Linked DNA regions of Macaca mulatta. The protein of the gene in region 1 purifies or fractionates together with the protein of each later gene. This does not show direct contact. Links are inferred from orthologs where the notes say so. Each region holds a gene or a part of one and is shown on either strand. Other genes may lie near its edges.

The links. Proteins that work in one complex are often made in the same cells at the same time.
Region 2: the proteins of SPDYC (region 1) and CDK1 purify together in Homo sapiens (co-immunoprecipitation; 3 studies listed by BioGRID and IntAct, with this or other methods). This does not show direct contact. The link is inferred for Macaca mulatta from reciprocal best matches to the Homo sapiens genes SPDYC and CDK1.

Annotation. Positions count from the first base shown.
Region 1 is NC_133419.1:9,206,396-9,209,763, reverse strand, and holds the end of SPDYC (speedy protein C), read left to right. Parts: intron 1-775; 5' UTR 776-806; coding exon 807-948; intron 949-1,372; coding exon 1,373-1,431; intron 1,432-1,694; coding exon 1,695-1,780; intron 1,781-1,885; coding exon 1,886-2,057; intron 2,058-2,136; coding exon 2,137-2,467; intron 2,468-2,636; coding exon 2,637-2,671; 3' UTR 2,672-2,826; downstream 2,827-3,368. UniProt on the Homo sapiens protein: Promotes progression through the cell cycle via binding and activation of CDK1 and CDK2. Involved in the spindle-assembly checkpoint. Required for recruitment of MAD2L1, BUBR1 and BUB1 to kinetochores.
Region 2 is NC_133414.1:89,039,306-89,043,054, reverse strand, and holds the start of CDK1 (cyclin-dependent kinase 1), read left to right. Parts: upstream 1-1,133; 5' UTR 1,134-1,149; intron 1,150-1,181; exon of another isoform or gene 1,182-1,204; intron 1,205-2,723; 5' UTR 2,724-2,748; coding exon 2,749-2,785; intron 2,786-3,749. UniProt on the Homo sapiens protein: Plays a key role in the control of the eukaryotic cell cycle by modulating the centrosome cycle as well as mitotic onset; promotes G2-M transition via association with multiple interphase cyclins.

The sequences.
Region 1 (3,368 bases):
GTGAGGGGTCGGGGGTGGTTGTGAGTTGGGGCCTGGAGGAGCAGTTAAGCTCTGGGTTTTTTTTCTTTTTTTGCCAGGCGCAGTGGCTCACGCCTGCAATCCCAGCACTTTGGGAGGTCAGGAGTGTGAGACCAGCCTGGCCAACACGGTGAAACCCCGTCTCTACCAAAAAATACAAAAAATTAGCCGGGCGTGGTGGCGCATGCCTGTAATCCCAGCTACTCGGGAGGCTGAGGCTGGAGAATCTCTTGAACCCGGGAGGCGGAGGTTGCAGTGAGCCGACATCGCGCCACTGCACTCCAGCCTTGGCGACAGAGAGACTCTGTCTCAAAACACACAAACAAACAAACAAACGAAACCCGAAAAACCTCTTGGGGTTTTGGAGACCAAAGACTTCACTTTTAACTGGCTGTGAGGTTTTCAGTTTCCTCGTTTAAAAATGGGTCCGAGTTAATCTTACCTCCTTACCAGAATGGAATAAGATAAGGCCCTTAAGCACAGCTCCAGGCACTTAGGAAGCCCTCAGCCGTGCTTGTTGCTGCTGTTACTCTGGCCTGTCCTGGGGTGCCAGGAGGAGGGCGGGGGTGCCGCAGCCCATAGCAACTCTTTGCTTCTTTTCTGACCTCCCCACTCCTCTTGCATCCCAACTGCCTTCTATTCTGAGCCCCCAAGTCTCTGCACCCACCCCTCCGCCGTCCTGGCCCCTGTCACCACCCTCTTGATTTGTGGGCGTCATGGGGGTACATGCTAAGTCCTGAGCCTCCTTTCTCTACAGGTCAACCTGCCCCATCTCCATCTCTTATGAGATGAGTGACTGCCAAGACCCCACCACTTCCCCTGTAGTTACCACCCAGGTAGAGCTGGGGGGCTGCAGCCGGCAAGGTGGGGGCAATGGGTTCCTCCGTTTTCGCCAGCACCAGGAGGTCCAGGCCTTCCTCAGCCTTCTGGGTGAGTTTGGAGGGCTGGCACGGGAGGGACTGTGAGGCCAAGTGTGAAAGCAGACGTGAAGTGTGAGGTCTCACCTTCCTGTACAGACATCTGAGGCCTCTGACCCTCACCCTCTCAAGGTAACCCAGCTTAGGCAGGTAGGAGGGGAGTCCTCTCAGAAACTGGGTTCAGGGCCAGGCGCCGTGACTCATACCTATAATCCCAACACTTTGGGAGGCTGAGATGGGAGGATTACTTGAGACCAAGAGTTCAAGACCAGCCTGGTCAACATAGTGAGACCTCATCTCTATTTACATTAAGAAAGAGAGAAAGAAGAGAGAGAGAGAGAGAGAGGGTTCAGTGGCGGCTTGGGCTTTGGAGCTTCTGATGCCACTCTTCTCCATGGAGGCGGTGGTAACCTGCGTCCTGTCTTCTCTACCCTCAGAGGACAGTTTTGTCCAGGAATTCCTCTCCAAAGACCCCTGCTTCCAGATTTCAGATAAGGTGAGAGAGCACAGGCTGGGGGTCTCTTGAGGTTCAGGTTGAGTTGGTGGGAATTGAGTGCCGCTGCTTTATTGGGTGCCCTGGTCTGGTAGGGAGAGCCACTCCCCTTCCACCCTTACCAGTTCATCTTTGCATACCCCTTCCCACCATTTTACTGACTTTCTTTCCCTGCAGCACAACCTCCTTGGGTGCAAATGAACCTGGGTGCAAGCCCCTCCTCCTCAGAGGATAACTAACCCCCCGACCCTGATCTGTCTCTGCAGTATCTCCTGGCCATGGTGCTGGTCTACTTCCAGCGCGCCCACCTGAAGCTCAGCGAGTACACCCACAGCAGCCTGTTCTTGGCCCTGTGAGTGGCGGGGGCAGGCAGTGGAGGCATTATCTGGTGGAGGTGTCGGATGGGACGGGGCAGATGTGTGGCCTCTGCTCCCTGACCCCGTGCCTCTGTGGCTAGGTACCTTGCAAACGACATGGAGGAGGACCTGGAGGGGCCCAAATGTGAGATTTTTCCATGGGCCTTGGGAAAAGATTGGTGTTTACGAGTGGGGAAATTCCTGCACCAGAGGGATAAGCTTTGGGCACGGATGGGTTTCCGGGCTGTTGTGAGCCGCCAGTGCTGTGAGGAGGTGAGGTTGTGGAGGCAGCCTGGGGTGTGGGGAAGGCTGGGGTTCCCACCCCATTTACTGTCCACTCTGCTCCTCCCAGGTCATGGCAAAGGAGCCATTCCACTGGGCTTGGACTCGGGACCGGCGCCCCCACCATGGTGGGGTTCAGAGGGTCTGTCCACAGGTCCCTGTTCACCTTCCCCGGGGTCCTGGCCTCTCGCCGCCCCACTGTTCCCCCTGTGGCTTGCCCCAGCACTGCAGCCGCCACCAGCTTAAGCCTGTGTCATCCAAGTGCCCTTCTCTGACCTCGGAGTGTCATCGTCCTCCTTCCCAAAATTATCTCTCAAGGGTCAAAAACACCTGGGGTGGGGACTTTCTCATCGTCTTGCCCCCGCAGATGCAACTGGAACCAGGCACCTACTCCCTCCGCAGTGAGTGCAGGATGGGACAGCAGCTGCAGGGCTGGTGTGGGAGCTTGGGAGGCAGGAGTGAGGACCAACAGTATGAGAGGGAGTGCTGTGGGCCTGGAATCGACGTGCTGCCCTTCCTGTGTGAGCTCGGCAGGTTTCCTCTCTGAGCCTCACTCTTTCCTCTCCGCAGTCTTCCCAAAGCCTCTGGCACGCCCTGGGCACTGAAGCCCTACAGGGTGAAGAACAGCACGCCTGCTGGCCCGCTGACTGACACACCACTGGCTATGCCCCCACCCCTGCCCCTTCCTCCCAGCCCGCAGCTTGTGCCCACTCTGGTCCTGGTCCCCTCTAATAAATTCATGTCCACAGGACACCAACTGTGCTTAGGTCCTGGCCTGGTTCCTTGACCCAGGGTTGGGGTAGGGAGGAGGTGTCTACCAGGGTTACACCATGTGAGCACAGGCTGTGTAACAGCTTGGCCCCTTCCCATTGGTGGCCAGTTATTCTGAGCCTCAGTTTCCTCTCTGTGCTGTCCATGCCTATGGATGATGAGATCTACACAGTCTAGATGGGATTAAGTGAGATGAGGTATCTGCAGCCCTTAGAAGAGGGCCAGGGAGCCGAGCCTGGTGGCTCACACCTGTAATCCCAGCACTTTGGGAGGCTGAGCTGGGTGGATCACTTGAGGTCAGGAGTTCAAAACCAGCCTGGCCAACATGGTGAAATCCCTTCTCTACTAAAAATACAGAAATTAGCGAGGCATGGTGGTGGGTGCCTGTAGTCCCAGCTACTCGGGACACCAAGGTGGAAGAATTGCTTGAACTGGGGAGGCAGAGGTTACAGCAAGTTGAGATCACGCCACTGAGCTCCAGTCTGGTGACAGAGTGAGGCTCTGTCTCAAAAAAAAAAAAAAGGAAAAAGG
Region 2 (3,749 bases), on another chromosome or scaffold:
GCAACATAAGGAGACACCGTCTCTGCAAACAAACAGGCAAAAAAAAAAAAAAAAAAAAAAAAAAAAAAAAAAGTAAGAAAGAGAGAAAGAAGGAAAGAACAAGAAAAAAATTAACTGCATTAAATGCAGAAATCTGTCTTAAGGATATTGTGGATGGCAATGAAGACAGAGTTTTTGACACTGGATTATTTAAAGCATAATTTAAACCTCTTTTTCTCCCCTCATAGAATTGTGAATTTTTGTGTTTTAATAATATTTAAGCTGGTCATGGTGGCGGGTGCCTGTAGTCACAGCTACGCTGGAGGCTGAGGCTGATTGCTTGAGCCCAGGAGTTGGAGGCCAGCATGCATAGCATAATGAAACCCAGGCTCTAAATACATGCCTCTCTCTATATATTTAAAATTCTGATGTGAAAATATTTTAAAATTTACATTTCAAATGTTTTTAATTGCATAATACACAAAATGTAAATAATAAAATAATTTAATATTAAATTCAAAAATGAGGTAGAAACAAAGCACAGCGATATAAATAATAAATCTTCCTTTACAGTTTTGAGACAGTCTTTTAAGTTTTCCATTACCTTCTTAAGGTCACTGAAAGGTGCTCCTTGGAGCCAGCCCGCAAATCACGCATTTAGAAAAACATAACTATACACTCCTAACCCTAAGTATTAGAAGTGAAAGTAATGGAATCTCGATGTAAACCCAATATCACTTTTTTGATGAGCTATTTTGAGGATAATAATTTTGAACTGTGCCAATGCTCAGAGAAAAAATTTAAAAGAAGAACGGAGCGAACAGTAGTTTCCTGCTCCGCTGACTAGAAACAGTAGGACGACACTCTCCCGGCTGGAGGAGAGCGCTTGCGCTCGCACTCAGTTGGCGCCCGCCCTCCTGCTTTTTCTCTAGCCGCCCTTTCCTCTTTCTTTCGCGCTCTAGACACCCGGGAAGGCCAGCCTAGCGTAGCTGGGCTCTGATTGGCTGCTTTGAAAGTCTACGTTCTACCCGATTGGTGGATCCGGGGTCCTTTAGCGCGGTGAGTTTGAAACTGCTCGCACTTGGCTTCAAAGCTGGCTCTTGGAAGTTGAGCGGAGAGTTACGCGGTTGTGGTAGCTGCCGCTGCGGCCGCCGCGGGATAATAAGCCGGGTACAGTGGCTGGGGTCAGGGTCGTGTCTAGCGGATGGCCCGGGGACCTCGAAGGGCGAGTATTGAAGAACGGGGTCCTCCTCTAAGAAGGCCGGACTGGAGAGCAGGGACCTGCGCGGAGCCAGGCTGGGCCTCGGGGTGGGGTGGGCAGGGCCTTTGCCTGGGCCTGGGCGTGTGAACCACACTGCGCCGGCTTTAGAGGGAGGCTATGGGAGCCCAGCCTGGCGGGGTTAGGCGGCGTGGGGGTGGGGGTGGGGGTTCGGGGCTGCAGTCGTGAGTTCAGGTCGGCTGTTTAGGAACTGCCTTAGGAGGCTTTCGGGTCTTGATTGAAGCAAAATCCGCTCCCCCACACTGAGCGCCAGCGGAGTGGCAGGCTCCTTCCTGGGCCCGGCCCCTGAGCGCCCTCCCATCCCGCCTCGGAGGTGGGAAAGCGGGACCGCACCTGGGCCAGGTACAGGCGCAGATTCCTAAAGCGAGGCTGCCCTGAGAAACCGATCCCGGAACTCGTGGGCCTTCTGGGGCTTGCTCTGCCCACGGCCCCGGCCCACCTGGAGCTGTTAAGAACACTCAGCCCAGGCACTTAACACTCATGAGCAGTGTAGTGCAGTTTTTTTCATTTAAAAAGATATATCTCTGCTTCTTTCTGGATTGATTTTTTTCTTTGAAGATGAATGTGGGAAATAGAACTTAAAGGTCTGTTCAGAGCGGGCTTTATAAATGATCTTATCATCAGTGATGGGTGTTAGAAAAATCTAGGTAATTATGCCTGGAGTTCTGACGTTTCATTGACAAACTTCAGAGGAAGTCTTGAACTTCTGGTTGTTTTTTGTTTTTTTTTTAAACCCATTCATTGTGATTCAGGTATACAGTTTTTCTGCTTAGTCCTTGACATTGTGTAGGCTATAATTAGAATTTTATCTGTGGAATTGCACTTTTCATTCTTTTGTTTTAGGGTGCTTAAGTGATATTTCCGACTCTTGGAAAAAGTACCTTGAAAGTCTTGAGCATGTTTGTGACCTCTGCAAGCAGAGGAAAAAAAGATTAAAATTGTCACGTGGGCAACTGGAAACGCTTAAAATGTTTTTGCCGCTTTAAACAAAATTTTCCTAATGAACAATCTGAACACATTTTAGTTCTCCCCTTATAACTATAAAAAATAGTGTTTTGAATAAAATTAGAAATATCATAAAGCGGTATAAATTTGTTGAAATATTTGGGTATAACTTTGGCACACTCAGATACTAGTGTCACAACAAGGGAACATAATTCTGGTTTTTCTTTGGAAAGAATAGACAAGTTGATATCTGAATTTGAGGGTTATTTTGATTGGAAGAAGCTAAATAAATACTACACTAGTATAGAATATACACGTTTCCAATGTCTCAGGAGTCCAGAAGGATGGAAAGTTATTGTAGGAGTCCTTACCCTTGTAAATATTGTTTGAATGTAGTTAATATTTATGGAATACTTATGTACTGCAGTAGGCACAGTGGAAAATGCTTTACATATAGTGTAATGCTAAAAACTACTCAAGTTAGTGGCATGTAATTAAGTCAGTTTTTCCTTCATTTTAGGATCTGCCATACCCATTGACTAACTATGGAAGATTATACCAAAATAGAGAAAATTGGAGAAGGTGAGTGGTTTTAGTAATATAAATTTTTGGGGATGATTTAACAATGCTACAACTTCTGTAATATGAACACATGTAAATATTTATTAAAATTCAACCATTAAGATGTCTTGTAGTACCAGTGTGCATTAATATATGTTCTTTACTTAATAAACGCAAATTTGTTCACATTTCAAGAGAATTGAAATTACTGAATCCCTAATGACCCATCCCTTCACCCCCATAGTCTTACAGTCTTCTGATACTAAAGAAGTATCAGAAATACTTGTATTTTGAAGACACTATTGATGACTTGCACATGTGTTGAGGGGCAGAGGTTAGGGATGCAGAATTATGCTAATTTCATAGTCTATTTTTAGTCTCTTTCAATTATTTTTAGGATGATAAATATTCTTATCCAGCCTTTATAGACTGGTTACAATAATTGACTTAATCTAATTTAAATAAAATTTCTATTTAGTTACCGTAAGAAAAAAATGACCTGTCATATGTACATGTTTAAGCTATTCTAAAACTATAACTTACGTATATAATCATTCCCTTTCTGTGGTACTTGAAGGAATGATCAGATCTATATATGGCACAAATGAGGGGTATATCCCTTCGCCTGTTCCTTGACTCCAACAGAACATTCTCAATTCTCCAGGTACAAAATAATTTGCTAGTAGAATCCAGTTTATATCGGTTCTGCCAGAAGGAAATTCACAACTATATTTTTAATGTGATCAAAGACCTCACTTGACAAGAAATAGTAAAAAAACAAGGGGGGAATACTGGAGGGAATTTAGTGAAATAGGAATGACAAGTTAGTGTGGTGTTCGATTGGAGGGGTGTGTGTGTGTATTTATTTTTATTTTTAAACAAATTAAATACCTCATACCCATTCTACTAAACACATTTTGCTGCTGAATTAAAAATAATGTGATTAGTATGTCTAATGCTTTGTAGTATGTTTCTTAAATTCCCA